Stegostoma tigrinum: one gene and its partner. The protein of the gene in region 1 purifies or fractionates together with the protein of each later gene. This does not show direct contact. Links are inferred from orthologs where the notes say so. Each region holds a gene or a part of one and is shown on either strand. Other genes may lie near its edges. The genes, in order: ocrl and plekhj1.

What was found.
Region 2: the proteins of ocrl (region 1) and plekhj1 purify together in Homo sapiens (co-immunoprecipitation; 3 studies listed by BioGRID and IntAct, counting the BioPlex papers as one, with this or other methods). This does not show direct contact. The link is inferred for Stegostoma tigrinum from reciprocal best matches to the Homo sapiens genes OCRL and PLEKHJ1.

The regions. Positions count from the first base shown.
Region 1 is NC_081368.1:44,347,726-44,359,812, reverse strand, and holds the start of ocrl (inositol polyphosphate 5-phosphatase OCRL), read left to right. Parts: upstream 1-5,810; 5' UTR 5,811-5,916; coding exon 5,917-5,958; intron 5,959-6,021; exon of another isoform or gene 6,022-6,178; intron 6,179-10,561; exon of another isoform or gene 10,562-10,562; coding exon 10,563-10,642; intron 10,643-12,087. UniProt on the Homo sapiens protein: Catalyzes the hydrolysis of the 5-position phosphate of phosphatidylinositol 4,5-bisphosphate (PtdIns(4,5)P2) and phosphatidylinositol-3,4,5-bisphosphate (PtdIns(3,4,5)P3), with the greatest catalytic activity towards PtdIns(4,5)P2.
Region 2 is NC_081383.1:19,449,575-19,462,575, reverse strand, and holds the start of plekhj1 (pleckstrin homology domain-containing family J member 1), read left to right. Parts: upstream 1-7,796; 5' UTR 7,797-8,196; coding exon 8,197-8,290; intron 8,291-13,001. Other genes in the region: sf3a2 (splicing factor 3A subunit 2), read right to left, coding at 668-714, 2,313-2,384, 2,475-2,600.

The DNA of each region.
Region 1 (12,087 bases):
ATGCCAATGCCATCTTGGAACGCCTGCCATGAACTGGTCAAGATTTGGCAGTTCGGAGTTGACCCTCACCATGAACATTGTAACCCAGCATTTTTATGGCAAAGAGGCAGCAAAGCTGACACTGCAAACGCAATTGCACATTTTCACCCCAATTGCTGTCTAAGCACCAGTCCACATACTTAACCAATTTCTGATCACATACCATCTTAAAATCTTCTTAAGTAACTGGTACCCTGTCCCCAGTATCCACTGGAGCCCAGCATCTCATCATTGTTCACTGTTAGGCCATGACACACAGGAAAGCCTCCAAATGATGTGTCATATTAACTTGTTCTTACAGAAACCAAAGGCAGACAAAAACCAAACAAAACAGAAGCTGCATTACCCTCCAGCATGCAAACAAACTGCTGATATTGTACAGTCAATGAATGGTCACTGAACCCAGTTCTCGTCTAATAGAACTGGCTGCCAACTAAGACCTGTCTGATTTGTAGTGCCTGACGTACTCTGCCATGAATAAGGTTATGTTCCTCCTGCTCAATGTCTTTTTCTTCCTTGTCCTCAGAAGAAGACTGCTCCACCTCTCCCAGTTACTTAACATTCAGTATGTTGCTTCTTGGCATACTCTAGTTATGCTGAGGACAGCAAGTGAGAATTATGTGGCACATTCTGTCCAGAGTTGGGCCCTATCAGACCGGTCAAGGTAAAGCATAGATCTTGGATATCTTCAATCTACGCCACCACTGCACCTCACCTTATGGGGGAAAGGGTATTGAGGAGAAAGGACTATGGTTCTCTGTCTGTGATGCATATTGAGAAGCCTTTCAGCTGCACCCTCTTCACATAACAGAGCTCTGCAACCTTCTGCAGCAGGTTACTGCTGGTCCAGGGCTGGCTGATGTATTCATTTCTCCTCCATTTTTTTTCCATGGTGGCAACTGTGACAACCATATCCACTTTGACTAGGTTCATCGGTCACAGTGGCAATGATCATCTATCGGAAACATAAGGAACAGAAGAGATTCTTAGCAATGGGATTGGCCAACTGTCACATCCATGATAAGTGATGGCTGAATGTGCTCCTCCAAAGAGTGAGGCATGTTGCATTCAGATAAGGAGGACCCTTGGAATAAGCCATAATGCAACTTTGATTTGGGACTTTATTTTACCCAGTGCTCGACTGGTCATGGTGAAGATTGATAGTAGCAGAGGTCAAATGTTGGATAAACACTAGTAACCTTGTCCCAAGCCCCACATCACCCACAAAATTGCATAATTGCAAACAAAATAGGCTTCTACCATTCTTACCTTTCAGTTGGAGAGGTAACCAGTTTGTGTGGCCCTCTATCCTGTAGGAAGTCTTGAATTAACTGTGTGTGATGTGGCCCACTGGTGTCTCATTTAAGGTCACCTGTGGTTACTTCTGCTTCACAGAGTTTTCTGTCTGCAATTTGCAAGGACTAATGACATGGACGACATTGTCTTTGATCAGTATTTGAACTGTTAAAGCCCATCCCTGGCATATCGGACTGGATTGGAGCCTGCATTCTTGGCTAAAAAATGACGCGCTCAGCCCAAGCTTGGTGCAGCAGAATGTGGAAGCAAATGCAGGTCAAGCTGGACACTGTCAGTACCAGGCTTGGTCTGGTAGTCAGATTCACCCGCTTGACCAAACCTCCACATCTCTTTCTGCCTAGTGTTCCCTGGATAGTGTTTCTTCACAAAACCCTGGGCAAAAAAAACTGAAAGAACTGTAGATTGTGGAAATCTGAAACAAAATCAGAAATTGCTGGAAAAGGGTAATTGGATATGAAACTTTAACTCTGATTTCACTTCACAGATGCTGCCAGACATGCTGAGATTTTCCAGTAGTTTCTGACTTTGTTTCACAGAACCTCACCTGTGCTCAACCACCACATTAAACTGAATTTTCACATATCCATCTTACCACCTGGACCCTGTTACTATACCTTGGTGATGACCACCATCTTGCAAATGAAGTTGCAATGATGATTGTATCCTATCATTCCTCCTCCCGTAGCATCCCATGCTCTCTCATGCATTACCAGCTCTCCTCTTACATACTGAGATCCCCTCCATCCCCATCCATGTGCCCTCCACATCCCTGGCTACAGCCCACAATCCCTGCATTAATCCCTTACATCTCCCTCACTCCTCAGCCTATGCAGAGATGGATCACTTGACCATTACTGGTTCATCTGGATGTCTGGCTGTTGCTAAGCTCATGCTCTGTAAGACTGCACTTGACCATCTGCACTAGGACCCCCAAATGCTAGCAGCATCTCTTGATTCCCCTCAGGACTATTCCCCTTCAACTTTGAGACGTGACCATTTGGTTATAGAGATGCAGAACGTTTGCCATGCAGGAAGCTGGCACATTCTCCAGGTGTGAGTTTGATTTTGATCTGATTTATTGTTGTCACATGTCGTATCTGTTCACCCCCGACTGTTGACAAGGGTGACAAATTGCCTGGCTTTGTTTCTACAATCAAGTGCAAAACAATACAGAAGTACTGTGAGACTTTACATTGTTGTTCTTCAAGGGCAACATGTTGAAGACAAAACAAGGTAAGATGGGAATACCGTGAGCATCCAGGTAGTTGCTAAGCAAGCAAGTGCTAAGAGATGATGTGGCACCCCTGAGATGCAGCCTGGTCCAGTTTGCGAGATGGGTGCCTGTTCATGTGAGCTGTGACCTGTCAGTGATATTGCAATGAGAGCTGCAAGTGTGGCTTAAAGTGCAACATCACAGCACAGAGTCACATTGTAAGTGGATTAGGATGTATCAAAGGATGTGGACAGGTTGGCTATTGCCCCACCAACCCCCACCCTGCAAGCATCTGTGGATGTGGGTGGGAAAAGCAACTGCTCTGGGGCCTGTCTGAAATGTTGATGCTGGGTGTCCAGGTTGGCTGTCTGGAGGAACAATCGTGTTTACCAGGTGCACATTCTGACTTTTATTTTGTGAATTCTTGGCATTGAGAATTTGTATCATTCCTATCAGTTGCTTGGTAGCATAGGAACTTGCATATTAGTGTCAATGAGGGCAATATTAAGCAAAAAGCCCTATCGATAGGCATTTCACCGCTCCCTAACAACAATCTTGTCTCAATACCTGGCACGCTGTTGAAAATGTAATTTCATGCTCCCAATATTGAGAAAAGCCCCATTGGACTTCTCACTGAATTCTCTGAGATTCCTTGTCACTTCCCAAGTTGTTCAGGATCCAGTAGGATTCTGCCCGTAAAAACTAAAAAAAATTGTGACAGACGCTGTTACATGTAACAAGTCTGATATTGTTCAATTAACATGTGAACCAATTTCAGCACACAGCGAGGAACTTCCCCACATTCATGTTAGTTATAAATATTGCAAACCCAAACACCAGTAAATAGTTACTCATACATTCTTCTTTTACACTGCACCTGTTGGTGCATCATAGTTTCTCACGCCATTCTGTGCCTGAGAAATACATGCAGCTCCTTTGAATTTCTATGCCTCTGTCTTTAAGCTTTGCCGAATTTAAACATTCACATGTTGCTTTAAGGCTTGTTTGTTATTTCTCAATTGGGAATGAATTTAGGCGAAGAAATCTTCCATCCTTAGCAGGCTTAGACTACATGTAATTCCAGAAATGTAGCTTATCTTAACCAGCCCTCTAAATGGCCAAGAAAGCCTTTTGATTCAAAGACAGTTTGGGATGGACAATCAATGCTAGCTTTGTCAGTGATGCCAACATCCCACGATAACAAAAATAACAAAAAGACCAGCTTTCCTACAATTGGGAGTAATTTTGTAATTGTCTAACATAGAAATAAACAATAAGGTATATCTTATTTATGCATTAGAGGTCAATTATTTTCAATGTGTTATAGTGCACAGTTAATTCTTGTTTAGTATGGTTAACATAGAACAGTACAGCACAGAACAGGCCCTTCAGCCCACAATGTTGTGCCGACAAATCTCAGAAAGTTTATTAACTGCTTTTACTTATTTTAACTCATATTTAAGGAATATTTATGTGGTGCAGAACATTTGCACATGATTCATACTCTGCCAGGATGACAGCTGCACTATTGCAAATGAACATTGTGTTACAAAAGGAAAAATACTATATTGAAACACACTTTTTGTAATCTTTTGTCTTTGTTAAAGCCGCTCAATTTGTAATGCATGTATGCTCTTCTGGTGCACAGTTGTATGAACAAACTCTGTTTTCTTTTCATGGATGTACCTATTTTTGTACTCATTTTGTACGCTGTGTTTGTACAACCATTGCCCATTAAGGTTAGTAAGTTTTCCAACATTGTTTTATTGCCAAATGTCAGAACTGAATGATCTCATACACTAATTCTTCCCTCTTAAATCCCTGGTCTAATTTGGCACTTGTCAGAAAGAGTTAATTCAAAACATTGAGCTTTCCTCATGTTGAAGATGTAGGGTACTGTACTAAAATCTGATTTATCACTTGAATCATAGAATGCCTACAATGTGGAAGAAAGCCATTCGGCCCATCAAGTCCACACCAACCCTCCGAAGAACAGCCCACCTGGACCAAACCCCCTACCCTACCCTGTAACCCTGCATTTCCCATGGTCAATCCACCTAACCTGCACATCTTTGGATTTATTATATCTCTTCACTGGCTCCCAGGCTGTTTGTACTTTTTCCTGCCAAAATGTGCCAGTGTTAATATTTGCACACAATGTGTGAGGTTATGATCGTTGTCCACTGTTGTTTGATGCTGCAGTTCCTCAACTTCTAGTTCTTCTTCAGTCCTGCATTCATCACTACTGACACATGATGTAGGAGGGAAGGTCACGTGCTGGGAAAGTCAACGTGGACTCTTGTGGTCTGATAGCAGAACTGACTTCACATTGCATGTAGTTTATGGCGTTGATCATATGGTTCTTTGCTGCTGTTTTGCAGCTGTAACCATGAATGGGTTTATTTGAAGACACAAGCTTTCAGAATCTGGCTCCTTCCTCAGGTGTCAGTGAGAGGTGCCATCAGACACAATTTATAAGCAAAAGATCAAAGGGTCATAGAACTGATGCAAATGTGTTGAACAAACCTAAGATGGCTGTTAAATCTTCAATCGGTTAGAAAGGATTAATATGCAAATTCCAGAATGTCTTCCAAGTCACTGCCCTGAGATAACTAAGGGTTTTACCAGTATATCGGAGATGACATCTCAGGTCAGACAATGCATTTTAAGTGAGGGGGCCTTGTTTCGAATGACGCTGTGCATCAACACGGAGTTGGACTGGGAGCATGATGCCAAAAGCTGTGTCTTCAAATAAATTTGCTGGACTGTAGTGCCATACGATCTTTGACCTTGTCCACCCAAGTCCAACACTGGCACCTTCATGTATGTGGGTGGAGTGTCCCTGGAAAAGGATCATGAGTTCTGCCCGGCGTGCCTATGCTTCCGTGACTAGAGGGTACCTTAGGGACTACAGTGTACAGTAAATTCAGAAATTGTTGTGGTTTGTTTTATGGTTTGGTTTTTGATTATATTTTAGTGTTGCCCTGCGGTGCAATTAATATCAGAGCTGTCCTCAGAAAAAAAATGCTAGCTATGAGAATGAGAAACGCAATATATTTTGCAGCGTTTTTCAATGTACGTTGTTGCTTATTTCGAGAGATATTAAAATATGCTATAATTAAATTGTGGTGCGCTACCTCTGTAATGTTCAGGAGTGCATTAGCTCATGTAGGAAGGTAGCGCTCCACCCTCCAGGTCAGAAGGTGGCGCCGCTCTTGGCCTGCCCAGTGGGAGGATCGAACTCGTTGGCGTTGGCTGACTGACTGAAGCAATGTCGCCGAGGTGAAGGTACCGAGCTGTGGTCCGAATTGCGTGGCGGGTAGGGGAACTGTACGCCGGGAAACCTTATGGAGAAGCCGGCACCGAGAGGAAAAGGGAAGCCCGTGATAATATCCTTTAACATGGGGCAGATGAGCAAATTAGCGACTGGGTGTAACATAGGGCCGGGATCCTGGCAACTGAGGAACACAACAGAAACGAGCTGGGGCCCGGCCGGCTCAAAGAGCGGAGGCAGCGCTGGGCCCAGCCTGAATCTTCCTACCAGCAGCCCACTCATCGGTCCAGTGCACTTCTTCCACCACTGCAACCTGCCCACCACCTCTTAACCCTGTAAGATAGACAGTGGTTGCTGATCCGTGAAGTTTTTTTTAATTCGAGACTCTTTGGAGATTTTATCCTGAACGCATTGTGTTAGTTGTTAGAAACACTGTACTTCCAGAGTTTGCAGGAATGGTTTGTTTTGTTGCTGAGTTGGTGCTCTGCAATCTACCCTTTTGTGGTTTTGCTCTGCAGTGCTGATGCACGAGATCATTAGTTTGTGACGAAGACACTTCGTTGTCGTTTGTAAGCTTGCATATTTATTTCAAAGCTCTGCAGTTTTTGCGAAAGGCTTGTATTAATATAGTGTTGATATATGCATAGGTTAGTTAGGAATCTACATATGGTGTTAACCACGCCCACCCCCCACCCCATTGAATCCGAATGGCTCGCCTCTTGAGAGGACCAAAATGAACGGTGGTGGGCCGTTGCACTATGAGGTGCATCAGAGCTGAGCCTCATCCCAATTCCAACTCGTGTCAGTGTTTTTGATGGAATCATAACATAGCAAACGAGAGTAGGATTTCTGTTGTTTTCCTCTTTCAGCTTTTTTTATTCATTAACGTTGTGAATGTTGCTGGGTAGGCCAGCATTTATTGCCCATCTATTTTGCCCACGAAGCAGTTAAAATTCCAACACTTAGCTGTGGCTTTGGGGATGCGTGTAGTGTGCAGTGTCCTTCCTTAATGGACTTTAATGAACCTTATGGGTTTTTCCAACCATCAATAATAGTTTCATGAGTATCATTAGACTCTTAATTCCATTTTTTTCAGTTGCATGTGAGATCCCCGGGATATTACTTGGCTCTCCGGATTAATCCTGTGTCAAAGACACCACAAGACCATGACCTCCCCTTAAACAGAATTGTTTAAATTATTTGTTGTTCGTTCCAAGGTGTTAAAGCCAGTTGTAACTCTAGTTACCACTCATTTTGGATTGTCTAACCAAGCATGCACAGGCCTACTGATTTATGTAGCTTAACATAATCTCACATTGTGATCAATTGTTATGAAAATGAACTTGAATGTGTGATGATAACATTCTGACATTCTGATGCGGATAACAAATCGGACTATGAATTTATGGATTTGTTTCAGTCAGAATGTTGAAAATAAAAGTTTCTGAAATCATTACTCCAATACTACGATTGTTGCTACATTTACCACATTCCAAGCAGACCATTAGAAAGAAACAACTGGTTGTGGTTTAACCTAAGAGTCGTTGGGCGTCAGATGAGGGAAGAAGTTAAGGGGAGCCTTTCGTAGTAACCTCAGTTGGTGCAGGAATTGAACCCACATTTTTTGGTGTTAACTCTGTTTTGCAAACCAGTTGTCCAGCCAACTGGGCTAATCAACTTTATTTTTTTCTAAGACCCCTGTAGATTCCATTTCTCATCAGGCGTAAGTCTTCTTTACGCAACATGATTGCATTAGAAAGCCACATCAATAAGCCTTCAATTTGTACATAATGGTTCTGAAACCTCTTGGGTGTTTCGCTATTTTGACTTGCTGGAAGTATAGTAAAAGCTATCCAAACTGATCTCTCAGATCAGAAATGTAAATGACAAAAATAGGGGAAGGAAATTGAAGGAAAGAGTTTTTGGGATATATTCTGGAGTTATTCAAAACTCTAAAGGATACATGTTCAGGGAACTGCATTGTTAATAATTCTGAAGTCATAAATTTGATCATTAGGTTCAGTTTTCACTTTGTAAGAGAAGTCAGAACAGTTTGCGTTTAGCTATGTTATATATGATTTGGTGACTAGCTAGAATATGTTGTCCATGGAAAGTGGAAAATGGCAATAAATTTAGGATGATGGATATGGAGAAAAAGGGTTAAGGACTATGATCATCTATGTAAAAATCAAAAGAACTGCAGATGCTGTAAATCAGAAACAAGAGCAAAACTTCTGGAAATGCTCGGCAGGTCTGGCACATCTCTGAAGAGAAATCAGAGTAACATTGTGAATCTGGTGATTCTTACTCAGAACATTCTGAGGAACCTTCACCAGACCGAAACGTTAACTCTGATTTCTCTGAAGAGATGCTACCAGACCTGCTGAGCTTTTCCAGCAACTCCTGTTTTTGTTTCTGTTCATCGTGATGTTTTGAGCTTTGGTTCATTTGGATGGTCTGTAATTCTCTCTTTCAGATCTTGTTTGTGACAGTTTTTTTCTATTCAGTTCTCTATGTCATTCGTAAAATGCTGTAATCACGGCCAGGCATCTATTCAATTTTTGTTTGTAATTTCCGTGACCTTCTTTCATTTTTCTACTTCAGTCAAACCATTTTTGACTAAAATTCACTACACTTAATACTTGGTAAATCTTGCACCTCTAAGAGTAGCATTAATATTTTGCAAGTGGAGTGAGCATTTTTGTAATATACATCATGCTGTATGAAATACTTACTGAGTTAAAATCCAGGAGCTCCCTTCCAGTCAGCACTGTACATGGTCCGATGAGTGGTTCAAGAAAGCAGCTCACCACCACATCACCAAAAGCTATACAGAATAGGCAATAAATGTGGGCCTAGTAAGTGATGTCTGTATCCCACAAATGTATTATAAAAGTTGGATTGATAATATATTGTGAACCTGTTTACTGGCCTGTACAGATGTGGTTACAGTGATGATGCTGTCCCCTCTGAAGTTAGAATGACCCATGTTGAAACCTCACTCCTGGGCAGACTTCATACTCCTATGTTGACAATATTGTGTATTACTCAACAAATCCTGCATTCTAAGTATTTTTGTCTTTCTGGTATGATATTAAACTGAAGCTCTGTGTGCCTGTCAGTTGATCAAAAAAGATGAGTGTAATTCAGAAGAAATTGTGCTGTTGGCCTGAGCATCATTTATCCTGTCACTCGTATCACCAAAAATGGAGTAGTTGGTCATTTGTTTAATTATTGTTTGTGCAATTGAGAGAGAGAGACAGATTTTTAAAAGTACAAAAATAGCTTACTAGTTGCACTTTTATTCCCTTTAGAATGTTCAGTGAAGGAGGATATGGCATATCTTTCATTTGTTTGTCACAATATTGTAATTTCAAGAAAAGATTTTTTGGAATTGCACAGGCAATTTTATAATACTCAGTGTTTATCATTATGGTTGTGGGCAGTCTAACTGTACGTGATGCTTTGCATCCTTGTCACCAGTAACTTATTCTTAGTTCTCAGCTACAAGTGGGGAAATTGTTGTGCTATGATTGTTGTATTTAATGGTACGAGGAAACAACTGACACAAATTGAAGAAAGCTCAGTGAAAAATATTTGAGGTATGTACTTTGAGAAACTAAATTGATAAACAGACATACATACTTTTTTTCAGTATGAATTGCAATCAGACGCTAAAAATTATTGCATTTGTATTATAAGCAAGTAGTTTTATTTTAGCTAATAAACTTTTGTTTGAAAACAAAATTCACTGCATTACTATTAATGAGTTTAATGCTGAGTTCTTTAGTACAGTGAAGGACTTGCTAGTATTTAATTGTGAATCTTTTCTGGGACATACTTTTGAGCTTTGCAGTCATTACGAAATGAAGGGAAACATCCTTACTTTAAAATCAAGACAGTCATTGATGCTTGCATCTAGATTATACACACCCAGTTAGTAAAACCATTAATAGATTTGTGGAACAGAATAGGTGAAATCCTGAGTTTTTCATTCAGGTTGAGGTGATGAAAATGACAGATTATACTGGATAAAATTGAGTGACCTTTCTTAGTTGTCCTGTGGAATAATGCATGGTGCATTTGATGCTGTCATACTCCTTACATTACCTTGAACAATAAAATGATAAATATATTTTACTGAAAGAAAAATCGGCTGGTGTCCCGTACTTTATAATTGATTCTAACTGACTTTAGACATCAGTTTAAATTTATTCATATTGGAATTTGTCTATTTATAACAAAAAAAGGTAATCACATACAATGCTTTTATTTTAGTTTATGTTCAGATTTTCAGTTCAAAAGTGAATCCAAATTTTAAAAATAGCCTCAATTTTTGCCTTTATTTAAATTTGTTTCATTGCCTGTTTTTATTGGAATTTTACTTGTCACTTTGCTGAATTTTGATTGATATTACCCTTGTTTTGTCACTGTTTTGCACTTACAGAATTTAAGTAAGTGGAAGGGAATTTTCAGTTCAGGACCAACGAAGGCTCCAACCAAATTGCTGTATCCCTTGATTCAATTGGTGTCTTTGGTTCTCTGACTTTTCTTTCTCTGCTGCATCCAGCTTCAAATCTAATTTTTGTACATCTCTGTTTTCTTAAAGGAAAAATTTGGACATAGATATTCCCAATGACCAGCAATAATCAGTAATTTGATTACATTTATTTTTATCCTCCTTGATCTGAAATATATGGTTCCTTAATAACTTGAAAAGCTGTCAATGGTTCTGAGCTGAAAGATGGGCTGAAAGTACCCAGAGTTTTGTATCTTATGGAAAATAAAGGTGAATATGAGTAAGTATGTGCATGTTTTCATTTGGCTTTGTTTGCTGTAATTTTTTCAAGTTGAGCTACTGTTCAAACAATGTCATAATTTTACCTCTTGTTCAGGTATGACTGTTTGAGTGCCTGTACACATGAATCTTTTCAATGTGTTTGTGAGATCCAGATTTAGAAGGAAATCCCTTTTACTGACTAAACCATGTTTTGTGTAAGAAACCTCTGTTAACGAGAGACGGGGTATAAGTGAACACCATTTCCATATACTTGTTCAGATAGACTGGAGTCTACTTGTTCTGACATTGCCAAGATGTCTCTAAGGTGCTGTGCAAATGAATGTCCTTGCTTCAGTAAACACACACCAATTTAAGAAAAGGTGTTAAAGTTGTGGCATTGCCTATCCCCAGAGTACTAGGCATGTTTGGGCAATGGATAAATTGCTGAATTGTTAGACAAGAGTCAAGTTATGTGGGTGTAGGATACAGTAGTGGATCTCATGAGCTGAACCTATTCATCATTATTGAATAATGGATCAGACAATAGAGACAATTATGACCTCTGACCGCTCTTACTTGCATTATCAGGTTCATGTTTTCTGAGGTGTGTACCTCTAGAAATTCAACTTCTGTTATTTTGCTGCCTCCAAACAATTTTATTCCTGATGCTGAACTCTAGTGTGGGCTGTCTGCAAGTTTATTCTGCCCTGCACCCTCCATAACTCTTCCACCACGTAACCACTCCCCACCAAACTTGTTTGCAATGTTCAGAATACATCTTGACAAGTTTTTGTTTTCCTGTAGACTGAGTCTGTGCCAATTATGTTGTAATCAGAACTGACGGCAACTTCTGCTTTTATCCTTTTTTAATAAAAACAAAAATGATGCAAAGTATTAGGCAAATTAGAATACAGCCACTTCTAATTGTTAGAAATAGCAGAATCCTCTACTGCCATTCTTTTACCTTGTCATTAATAGATGATGGTAGATTTTGGATTATTGCAAGTTAATTCACTGAAGTTTATTATAGGTTTGGTGAAGGGAAAGAGGATTAGCCAGTGTTGTTAGTTGTGGGATTTGTTATTTAGAGGATCACAGATTTCAAACTATCTCTATTTATATTTTTAAACAAGCACTGTATTTGATTAAAGTCCAATGAGGTTTGTGATTTCAGGGTATATTTCCTCTTAAATTTGAACATTGCACATAATCAATTAATGTCATTTTGATCTAGAGGCAAAAATCTATCCCTTACCAATCTAACCTGTATGTAATTTCAGTTCCATGCCAAAATGGATAATGTGTAAGTCTCAAGTCCACAAGTGTATTAGCCACTCAGCTGTATGAAACAAATGCCAGTATCATGATAAGGTGACAATCTGCCACCAGCTTCGTAACTATGGCGAGAAGTAAAGGTCAGACCTGATAGCAGTGCTCAAATCCAAGAAGGAATTAAATGTAATC
Region 2 (13,001 bases), on another chromosome or scaffold:
AAATCTTTCATATATCTGACAACAGCACTGACTCCTCTCATCTACCTCTCACTATATTTCTTCAAAGGGCCTTCTGAGAAAGAGCTAACAGAATGAAACAAAGACTTTTTTTAACCCCAAATTTTATATTTAAAACCTTGCATCAATGAATGGAAGACTCTATTCAAATGGAAGGCAGTATTCAAATGCAGTAAAAGTTTTGACAGATAACAGCTGCAATATAAACAGAAAATCTCAACTAATGGCATTGACCTGCATATTTTACAGTTTATGTTTTTCTAATGAGACAAGTATTTGTTAAAATAAAGGAACTGAACACAGAATAATTGCAAAAACATATTTTTACTGGATGTGAGTTTGCTCGCTGAGCTGGAAGGTTAGTTTTCAGACGTTTCGTCACCATTCTAGGTAACATCATCAGTGAGCCTCCGACGAAGCGTTGGTGTTATGTCCCGCTTTCTATTTATATGTTAAGGTTATAAATAGAAAGCGGGACATAACACCAGCGCTTTGTCAGAGGCTCACTGATGATGTTACCTAGAATGGTGACGAAACATCTGAAAACTAACCTTCCAGCTTAGCGATCAAACTCCCATCCAGAGCTACCTGAGCTACAAATCTTCTCAAAACTCACATATTTTTACATTAAACATAATTTTACACTTACAGATTAGTCTGATGTTTTTTCCCTTGTGTGTGTGCCAAATAGCTTCCCTATAGAAGAAAAATTCAAATCAAGTTAAAACAGTACTTTAAAAGAGTCTAATTTTATATGCAATTAAAGGATAGGCAACTTGGGTAAATTAACTGAACAAACCTCAACATCAGAAATGTAAAAGATAGTTCCAAGAATACAACACTTTATTTGAGAGAAAACCTGATTTAAAAGAAAAAATTGCTGGTGGTACCGGGAGGAAGATCAGTAGGTTAAAGCTTTGTATTTGCTTTTGAATACTCGATCTAATTTAAGTCCTAACAGGCAGGTCAATAAAACCCCTATATTAAGGATGAGAATGTCAAATGCATTTGAGTTATTTTCAATGCAATTTCCAAAAAGCAAGTTCATCAATAATCTTGTTCTTAAAGCAGTATTTAGACTCATCCAAACTAGTGGAAAACAGAAGTGTCCAGCTTAAAGAATTTGATGTAAACCTATTTAAATATCCACATATGTTCTGTGGGAAATCATCCCATTATCAGCATTACTTTTGTCTTGATGTAATAGAAATTTAGTCCAACCATATAAAAATGAATTAAGTGACTTTAGAAGATGTGTTGCAAAATATTATGGAAAAATTAATTACATACAAACTCAGCTAGCTTAAATAAGATTACGCAAAAAATAAAGATGTTACACCTGATGTTACACCTCAAACTGTTGACTGAAAAATAAATCACATCAGCTCAAAGATAGCACCGTAAATCCGAAATGCAACCTTGGCTTGAGTTTCAATTATCGACTAAAATTTACTGTAAAAGGTTTTTTGTTTAAGTGTTTACCTAATTTTCTTACTCATGAGATGTGGGTGCCATTGGCAAGGGTAGTATTTATTGCTCATCCCCAACTGAAGAAGTTGAATAAGTGACATAGATGAGCCGGCCTCTAATACCACTGCAGTCTATGTGCTTATAGGTCCAGCCAAAACACTGTTATTGAGCAAGTTCATAATTTTTAGAGATGCAGGAAGAACGAGCATGACATAGAGGGAGAGCTGCAGGTGATGATGTTCACATGCACCTACTTTGCTTGTTTTTCAAGATGATAAGGGTTATATTTCTGAAGATGCTACCAAAGCATTCTTGGTGAATTGCTGGAATGCATTTTGCTGTAGATGCCATCATGGTGTACCAATGGAGGATGCGAGCAAATGTTGAAGGTGGTGGACAGGGTCATAATGAGCTGCTTTGTCCTGTTTTGTTCAACTTTAATAATTACAGTAGCATTTCTAAGCAAATAAGATAACAATGCCAGTCCAACAACAGCACAAGAACAATTTCATAACATTCCTGTCTATCTGAACATTAGGTTGGAAGAGTTCAGATCTGACAGCAAAAACGACAATGGCTCACTCAGACTTTTATTCTTCTAATGTGCATAAAGTGAGTGTCGTGTCCTAGGTAACAAAGAAGGGAGGCCAAGACAAGACTGTCAGAACCTGTTGCAGTATTTTTCACAATGCCTTTGGACGTAGCTGACAGCTGGCAACAGAAATAAAGATCTTTATTGCCTTATACTGCCATCTGAAGCCCAGATGAACTCCCTCTCCCAGCAGACATTTTCCACTTTTGTGTCAACAAAAAACTAAACTTACCTCATTGTTGTGAAGTGTTAGACAAAGTTTACATTCATAAGAACCCAGGTGATTTTTCATAAAATAGGGATCCTAAAAATTAGAAAGAGAATAGTAATAAAATTTCAATATGCCGAGAGATTTGCAGGAATTTACTGGTACTGATTGCACTCAGAAACTAACCTTATTTATGTCAATGGTTTCCAAAGCTAACTGTCTCAACCGTTCTCTTCGATCTCGATTGCTTTCAGAGGAGGAAGCAACCCCTCCACTGCCAGTTTTCCCTCCTGGTCGATGTTGAAAATCCATAGTTATTTGATGAAGAGTATCTTTTTACAAAATCTGAAAGAGTTTAAAAACAAAAATGCAGATATATTAATAGTCAGTTTCACTTTCTGTACAGAAACTTATCGTTTGTTTCACAAAATGGCAACTTTATGAGGAATGTTTTTGAAGTACTGCATGAATGATCCGATGTCACAGACAATTGTACATCTCAGGAAAAGACAGACAAGGGCCTCTGACGTCCTGAGGTCCACTAGCTGTGAGCATCGCTCTGCAGTTGGAGTGACAGATTGCAGAATCACCTGTGTAATTCTTTTATACACATGTTTTTACAAAAAGGTCAAGTACATTCTAAAGATTTCTTGACGTTATTAACTTATAGACTTCACTATCTTAAATATGGTATAGATTTTAACAATGAAACGTCAGCTTTATGAGCTGGAAAAATATTCATAGTAAATATTTCATACTTGCAAATACCATTCTCTGTTGTAATGCATAGACTTTACCTTTTCACACTTGTGATCTGTTTTTAAATCCAGCCAGTATATTTGTTGATGCCAACTGATTGACTATTACGGCTATGTGTTAAATCAGTTTGGCAAGATTCAACCAGTTCCTGGTAGCAAAGAAGCATTTGTGCAGACTTGTTACTTTTCCTTCACTTTTATACTTTACCAATTTGATTAATCAGGGCTGAGAGTTCAATACAGGTCCTGAAACCATAGTTATAAGCTCCACATTAGTCTCAACAATTAGAAACCAAAAGCAACATCAGAGCTTGGACAATAAAGTATAAAGAGGCTGGTTTGGGTTAAAACCTAGCACCCATGACGAATATATTGTAAAATTAGTCCACAAGTGCAAACTGAAGGTTTGCTCACACCTGCAAAATTCAGGCACCAGCTGTAAATCCTGCAGTGAAGATCAAGTTAGTCTGATCAATTCTAAGCTCACCATTAGAACCCATTCTTCCCCTTTCAATACATTGCCTTCTTGCAGGTTGCCAAATAACACTGTTACTTCACACTAAAATAGTCCATTGATGTGTTAAGCATCTCCAAAAATTTAATTCTCACAAGCTCTCTATCAGCTTCAGCTAATCATCACTGCCCATTATCACGTCCATCCTGACTAAACTGAATTGATTTCTTGTGCCAATTTCAAAGGCCCTACCCCACTCATTCAATCCATGTATAGCTTCTCTTTAATCTATGAAATCTGTAACACTACACTCCAGCCATTGGTATCCATTTCTTTAAATTGGTTTTACTTCTGTCTCCCAACACATATATTCTAATTGCTTAGTACACATCCTTGAAATTTTTCATACTTCTCTACCTGCTTCCTATAGCCTCATGAAAACTGAACTGTTCAAATGCACTACTAGTCTTCCATTGTTCATTTCTCCCCCTTGTAAAATGCTGAGATGGTCACCAATCTCATTAATATAAGTTGTAGTTGGAGTGAAGCTGACGAAATAGAATGCTGGCGTAATTCCAATTGTAAGGACTCTGGAGGAGGAACACTACATTGGAACAAAATAGCAATTATTTTCATAGCTTCCTATGAACACATAAACCAAAAATTCACCAGGATGTTACCAGGACTTGAGGGTTTTTTTATTCATTTTATGGGATGTGGGCACTGCAGGCTGGCCAGCATTTATTGTCCATTCCTAGCTGCCCTTGAGAAGGTGGTGGTGAGCTGCCTTCTTGAACTGATGTAGCCTATCATTGTGGGTTGACCCACAATGCCATCGGGGAGGGAATTCCAGGATTTTGACCCAGTGACTGTGAAGGAACATCAATGTATATCCAAGTCAGGATGGTGAATGGCTTGGAGGGGAACTTGAACTTGGTGGTGTTCTTGTGTATCTACTGCCCTTCTCTTTCGAGATGGAAGTTATCATGGGTTTGGAAGGTGCTGTCAGAGGATCTTTGGTGAATTTCTGCAATGCATCTTGTAGATAGTACACACTGCTGCAACTGTGTGTTGGGGGTGGAGGGAGTGAATGTTTGAGAATGTAGTGCCAAAATTTTGGCATTAGTCCCTAGATGTTAGCAAGGAGGACTGTAGAGGGTTGACAGGGCTTTTAATAGACAGAAAGCAGAGAGTAGGAATTAACAGACCATGCTCAGGAAAGCAGGCTGTTAAATAATGCACAAAACTATATTGACTTGTGTTCATAAGCTATTTTCAGTCCAATAATTTCAGCTTAGGCACCAACTGTCATATTTCAAAATTTGCTGATGACACCAATTTGGGTGGGTACATTGTGAAACAGACTAAGAAAGGCTTCAAGAAGAATTTAGACAAACTTAGTGAATTGGCTAGAATATGCAGGTGGAAAATAATGTGAGTCAATGTGCAGTTATTTGCTTTAATTGAGAAACAAAAACAGAAAAGCAGACTTTTTCCTAAATGGTGAGAGGTTGGAAACTGAGGATGTCCAAAGATCCTACAAGTTAGCATTCAGGTTCAACAAATAACTAGGAAGGCATATGGTATGCTGGCTCTCCATCATAAGGGGACTTGAAAACAGGAATAAAAATATCTTGCTGCAGTTGAATAAAGCCTTTGCATGACCTCACCTGGAGTACAGTGTGCAGTTTGATTCCCATATCTAACAAAGGGATATGCATGCCAGAACAGGAGGGGAATGGAGGTTCACTAGATTAATCCCTGGGGTAGTGTAATTTTTCTATGATGGATTGAAGATGATGGATCTGCATTCTCTAAAGTTTCAAGACAAAATGAGGGATGAACTCACTAAAACTTACATAATGCTTACAGGATGCGAGAAGGCAGGGAAGCTGTTTCATCTGGCTGGTAAGTATAATTCCAGGGGACATAAACTAAGGAAGGGTAAGCTAAGTTCAAATCAAGACGTGCATGAATCTTGTCACTCAGAGGGTAATGAATATTGGAATTCTCTACCCAGGGGCTTCGGAAACTAAAAAAAAATTTGAGATATTCAAGTCAGAAATTAATGATATCAAACAGTACTAATATAGTGCAGGGAAGTGGTGTTGAAGTAAACGAATGGTGATGCAGGCTTGACTAGTTACATGGTCTGTTCCTGTTCCCAATGTAAATGCTAAGTTGCTGTTGTTGAACACATCCTGGTTTAATACTTCATCCAAAAAGCATAACATCTTCAAAGATGCAGAGTTGTCTCAAAATTCACTTAAATATTGAGCACTTACATGCTCAGCTACTGGAGGGCAGGTTAAATTTACTATATTCAGACTTGGAGATGAGCTGATCCCAAGTGATACTAGGAACGAGGCCAAAGTCAGTTGTTCCAAACAGCAAACCAAGCTTGTTTATGGTGGATCCTTGGTGAGCAATTGAAGAGAGATAGACTCAGTTTTTCGCAAAGGGTCAGAACATCAGCTAAGATCATTCCAGAGAAGTTTCTAACCCATTCACACTCATCCAAACAGGGGCAGCATCAAATCAAGGAAACAGCAAGGACACAAATGTTGGCATTATCTGCATACTTGGGTAGAATGTAACGGTACTAACAGCTGAAATTGTGGTCAGGCAATATATATTTTAAAAAACTGGTAGAAGATTAACATTCTGGGAACACACATGGCATAGGAACAAAAAGATAAATATTTGTGATGATGTGCTGAATGTTTCAACTCAAGCCATTGGGAAAAACTACAGAATAGAACAGATGCAACCAGTGATCAATCTTGTGAAATGTAGTTAAAGCTGAAGCAAAAATCTGTCGTCAGAAATAAAGAAGATTCCCTCACCACACAAGTGTTTGGAAGCATATATATTAACAAAAACATTCCTCCTTACATCATTCATGTACATATGCAGTACAAACATTTTCCACTACTCTTAAACTAAATGTATGGAAAAGGAATAGACCACCCAGTTCATTAAGCTTGGGCCACCACATAATACAAATGTCATTGACTTTCTGCCTTAACTTCATAAATCCTATATCAGGAATTTGTGAGACACCAACAATCCATCAATCTTAACCTTGAATATACCTAATAACACAGCACCTGTTAGTTTAGTCCAAATACCTCATCCTTTATCCTGAGATTATGGCCCCTCATTTTTCGTTTAACATCCAGAGAAAACAGCTTATCTATATTCACCCTATCATGTCCTGTAAGTTTCAATGAGTTCAACTCCAAATCTTCAAAGCTCTAAGAAATATATACCCAATCTCCTCAATCCCTGGTATAACAAACATGCTGTCGGAGGGATTAATTTGATGAACTGCCATTGTGCTCCTTCTATGGCAAGTACATCCCCTTTTCAGAAGGGTCGAGTGACATACTGGTAAACACCCTACATCTGAACCAGAAGGCCTGGGTTAAAGTCCCTCTGATGCTCTAGAGGTACATCATAATATTTCTGAACAAGTTGATCAAAAAATATTTATCCCCTGCTCAGGATAGGAAAACAAAACTGTAGGCAGTACTCCAAGACAGAATTCTAAAGATTCAAAATCTAACCCATTAAGTGATAACAAAGTGTGAAGCTGGATGAACACAGCAGGCCAAGCAGCATCTTAGGAGCACAAAAGCTGATGTTTCGGGCCTAGACCCTTCATCAGAAAAAGATTCTCGGATTCTCCAGCATCTGCAGTTCCCACTATCTCTAACCCATTAAGTGCGTTGTTGTAAAAACTTCTCCTCATCTCAGTGTTAGGTACTCGGTCCTCTATGCCGAACCACCTTTCTCCTCACACCACCACCCAAAAGTCAAGGGGAAACAAACTCTCAACCTGGTTTCAGTCAGACCAAGCACTTTGCTTATTCAGCTCACTCCGAACAAAGTTGACCCCAATCGCTCCAGCTTTACCATTGAACAAACAAGCAGACACAAAGGAAAACGTTGCATTAAACAGCCTGGAAACACAGGCCTCAGGTTCCTTGGCCAGCTCAGAAAATGGCCGGGTTAACAACCGGTCCGGGGGGGGGGGAAGTGAGGGAAAGAACATTCATCATGACGAAGGTATATTGTGCCTGACCCACCAAGCTCCGGCTACCAGGGACCAATAAACTAGCGGCCTCGAACCATCAGCCCCGCGACTACCTGAACACGCCTCCAACAGCCACCAAAACCGACCGGAAGAAAGTCGCGGCGCACCGGAACTTACTGTTATCAGTAACTTTATTAACAAAGAACACTGGCGCGATGCGCCAAAAACCGGAAGAAGGTCGTGGACCACCGGAAGTGGGGCTTTTCAATAACTTTATTGACAAGAAGACGCGGTGGATTCTGAGGGAGGTCGAGCGTTGGGGTGAGGTGCGGTTTTTGTTCCGTCTGCCGCTCGGTGTGCCGCGTAGTGCCAGCCTCCGCCGCAGCTCGAAGTCATGATTTGTCGCTAGATTGGGCGTGCCCGTGTTTATTGACTTTTAGATATGCCGCAGACTTTATCGCGATTTTGTACCAACGGCACGCACCTCCCGCTCGGCCTTCGCTTCCAGAGATAACGCTCACCAGGTGGGGCAGCTTTGTCCAGGGTGGTGGCTGTGTCTGAAGGCAAGGAACTGCTCATTAACATCCACCCCCCCCCCCTCCCCTCGGTGAGGGAAGGGGTGATATCGAGGGGGAAGGGGCCTTTCTGCCAGCTACCATGAGATACAATGAGAAGGAGCTGCTGTGTCTCTCCAAACAACCGGCCGAGAAGGCAGCCGAGCTCACCATGAAGGGCCCAAAGCGCAACGACGGTAAGGAGCAATCTAAGCTGCTCGAGAAACAAAAATAGAACTTGCTGGAAAAGCTCAGCAGGTCTGGCAACATTTGTGGGGTGGGGTGGGGTGGGTTGGGGAGAAACAGTTAAGGTTTCGGGCCCGGTGACCCTTCCTCAGAATTGGGGTCGGATGGGTTGAAAGGGATTTCACTTGCTCAGCAGGGAGGATGAAAACAGTCCTGGGGTGTTACATTGGAACCAATACCTACCTCATAATTTTGTAACCCGCTGGTGACATTGAGTGCAACGTGCAAGAGTTGACTCTGCCCACCTTTCCTTCGAGTATCTAAATTAGCAGTTATCACTTCTACTTAAACCCAGTTGCCTGTTCCATTTCTTAAATTCGCTGCAAGCACTACAATCAGAAAACAGTGGTTATGCACCGCAAATTGTTTAGCTCTATTATATGTCAATGTTAGCTGTCGATGGAGGGGACAGCAGAGAGTGTAAAGTAAATGCCAACCTATTATGATTGCATTTTATAAGTTTTTACTGTAACAATAACCCCTACCCTGGGGACAGGGAAACCACATGAACCAAAAAAATGTTATGAATGTTTCTTTTTTAAAAAAAGAAAGCTTCTATTTTAGTGTGGGGTCTGTAGCAGAAAAAGAGTGGGTTGGGGGGAGAGGGAGAGATTTGAGTGTGAAGTCTCATAGCCAGAAAACAAGATCATCAATAAATGGAGTTAAAGGGCAGCTGCTCATTGGGCTGGAAAGACAAACACAAGGTGGCCTGCAGATGTGGGAGTAATGGTGATTAGACTGTAAATGTATTTGCCGATAAGGAGAGTAACATAAAATTGTTAAAATCTGGATGTTAATGTGAGTCTTGTGGATAGAGGTGATGGTCGAACTGGGTTTGTTGTGCAATAAATAAGTCTTTTGAGTATGCTGAGTTCATGTTGAGTGGTCTGGAGGTGACTAGCATGAATGAGGGTTTAAATGGCCAATGATCCTGTATAGGAATGGAGACATTTGTTCATATGAGCATGATTTTTGTGATGTGTTGAAATGATTTCAAATTCAGTTTGGAGATTGATAACCATCCAATTCATTCAAAAATGTTGACTAGAGAGAGGTCTAAGAGGTCTGACATCTGTATTTACAAAGCTAAAAATGCTGACTATAGTTAGTATGTTGAGAGCATCTCTAGAGAGCGATACAGAGTTAATGTTTCAGGTGTGGAAAATATCAGCTGTAACAAGCTTTAGTAAGTGAAGGAGCATGGGAATGTGGATTTGGGAACAGAAGTAGGCCATTTGGCCTTTCCTTTTGCCTTTCCCATTAAATCATACGTGATCTGATTGTGGTCTCCATTCCATTTTCCTATCCAAAACTATCCACTGTATCAAATTCACTCATGGCCTTGTATATTTCAATAAGATCCCCTCATTCTACTAAGTTCTTGGAAGGAACTAGCCCACCCAGCTCAGTCGTTTCTTTGTAAGATGAGCCCTTCATATCAGAAATGAGCCAATTGAACCTTGTACACTTTTTTGAAAAAAAGTGTACATGTATTTGAGATATGGTTTCACCAAAGCCCTGCAGCAATAAAATGTTCCTGCTTATGTATTCCATTCCCCTTGTAATAATTGCCATTCTATTTGTCTCCCTAATCACTTGCCAGAGCTGCAAACTGATTTTTGTTTTGATTTGCATCACAGGTCACACAGACACAGTTTGGCAATCTCTGCCTGCACTGTTTTAAATAGTGGGTACATTTCCGTTTTTCCTTCCAAAGTAGACAAATTCACATTAAATTCAATCTGCCAGATTTTTGCCCTCTGTCAAATACCTGTTTCTAGACCCTTTACCTGCTTTTGGCAACTTACCCATCTTACATTTGACAATGATAATTGCTAATGAGTCTGCCCTATATTCAGCCCCATCATCCAAGAGGCAAGGCAAGTGAATGAGAGAAGAAAACTTAATCCCACCTGCCATCACCCATCTTGGTTGGCCTAATTCTACTTGATTAAAACCTCTAATGTCTGTTATATTTAAAGTTTTTTTTCCTTTAAAGATTGCATCCCTCAAATATTAGCTTTTTTCTCCACAGATGTTACTTGCTCCACTGAATAGCTCCTGCAATTTGTTCACTTCAGCGTCTGCAATATTTGCTTTGTGGGAGAGTTTAAACTGAAGCACAAGTTTGAATGAAAAGCAGTCCGAAACATTAACAAGTCATTCTCTTTCTAAATTCTATATATAACTAACATTTAAAAGCAGTTGTGTTAGGACTGATTGCTCTAGTTTATTGCTTTGGCCTGTTTATCATCATTTCCTGCTTGTGGGTGTTTAATCATTAGATAACATGCCTTCTGGCTGCCTTGCATTACAGCAATATCCAGATCAAATCGCTAGTATATTTTGCATTTTGTAACATCCTTGCAATTTTTTTCTGTGCCCTTTCTAGATCAGTAACATCCTCCTTATAGCAGGATGGCCAGAATTGGCCTTGCCATTGTCTTGTATAATGCAATATTTGTCACAACTCCTATACTCAATCTTCTAGCCAATGAAGGCAAGTATGCCAAATGCTGCCTTCACCAACCTAGCTACCTGCAATGCCACTTTCAAGAAACTGTGAACCTGCACCCCTAGATTCCTCTGCTCAGCAACACTCTCCAGGACATACCAGCTGTGTAAGTCCTGCCCTTGTTTACTTTACCAAAATGCAGCACCTCACATCAATCCAAATTAAACTCCACCTGTCACTACTTGGCCCATTGGCCTTATTTAGTCAAGATTTCATTGTACTCATAGATTACCTCTTTCACAGTCTGCTGTGTCAACAATTTTGGTGTCATCCGCAAACTAACTTACTATATCTCCTATATTCTCATCCAAATTGTTGACATAAATGATGAACAACAGTGAACCCATCCTTGCACCACACTGCTGGTCGCAAGCCTCCAGTCCAAATAACATCCCTCTACTTTTAAACGAAAGGTGTAACCAGAAAATACCAAGACCCCTTCTCCCGTGCCACCCCCCCCCCCATCAGATATTCCCTCAGACTGGGATAGCACCAGGTGAAACACTGAGCAAAGCCTGCTTACTGTTTTGAAACAGGAAATAAAGTTTCCTTGACTGTATTGTGAAAACAAAGACCCTATTACTTTGGAGTGGGGGGGTAAATAAATAAAGAAACGAACAAAAAATGGCTGTCCCTTGACTCTGTCTCCGCCAATTTCTGTTGGACAGGGACCACAAAGGATCAAAATAAAAATATATTCAAAGAAAATTAAAGGCTAGCAATGCACCAACACCACCATCTGTCTTCTACCATCAAGCCAATTTTGTATTCATTTGGATAGCATGTGATTTAACCTCACTAACCAATCTACTGCCAGGACTGGGGGATTTGAATTATAAGGAGACGCTTCAAAGGCTGGTACTTTTTCATCCCTGGAGTGTCAGGGGCTGTAGGTTTATAAAACCATGAGGGGCATCGATGAGGTGAATAAGCAAGGTCTGTTTTCCAAAGGTATGGAAGTCCTAAACAAAAGGTATAGGTTTAAGGTGAGCAGGGAAAGCATTAAAAGTGATCTGATGGGTAACTTTTTCTCACAGGGTGGTATGTGTATGGAATGAGCTGCTAGTGGAAGTTGTGAAGGTGGGTACATTTACAACACTTAAGAGGCATCTGGATGGGTACATGAATAGGAAAAGTTTAGTAATGCAGCATGAAATCAGAAACCTGTCTGTGCCAAATGTAATCCCAAACTAAACTGCTCCCACTTGCCTGCTCCTAGCCCATATCCCTCCAAAATTACCTATTCAGTTACTTATCCAAATGTCTTTTAAACGTTGTAATTGTACCTACAGCCACCGCTTCCTCAAAATTCATTGCACACACAAACCACCCTCTTTTAAAAAAAATTTCGTCTCATGCCTTTTTTAAATCTTTCCACTGACACCTTAATAATATGTCCTCTGGTCTTGAAATCCCCATCCTAGGGAAAAGACAACTACTATTAACTATCTGTACCCTTCATTGTCTTTTAAACTTCGGTAACTTCTTTATGCTCCAGTGAGAAATATCCCAGCGTATCTTTATAACTCAAACCTTCCATGTCTGGCAACATCTTGGTAAAGGGGAGGAGAACAGCAACACATATTCTGCTTGGGAACCCTGCAGGCCAATGATATCAATGTGGATTTCACAAGCTTCAAAATCGACCCCCTCCCACCCCCCAAATCCCAAAACCGGCCCAGCTTGCCCCCACCTCCCTAAAGTGTTCTTCCTCTCACCCATCCCCTCCTCCCACCTCAAGCCACACCTCCATTCCCTACCTACTAACCTCATCCCACCCCCTTGACCTGTCCGTCCTCCCTGGACTGACCTATTCCCTCCCTACCTCCCCACCTATACTCACCTCTACAGGCTCCATCCCCACCCCTTCAACTTGTCTGACTCCTCTCCATCTGTCTTCTCCTCTCTTCATCTCCGATCTGCCTCCTCCTTTCTCCCTATTTATTTCAGAACCCTCTTCCCCCTCCCTGTTTTCTGATGAAGGGTCTAGGCCTGAAACATCAGCTTTTGTGCTCCTAAGGTGCTGCTTGGCTGGCTGTGTTCATCCAGCTCCACGCTTTTTGTTATCTCTAACATCCTGGTAAATCTCTTTTGAACCATCTCCAGCTTAATGGAGGGATATAGGCCAAATTTACGCAAATGGGACT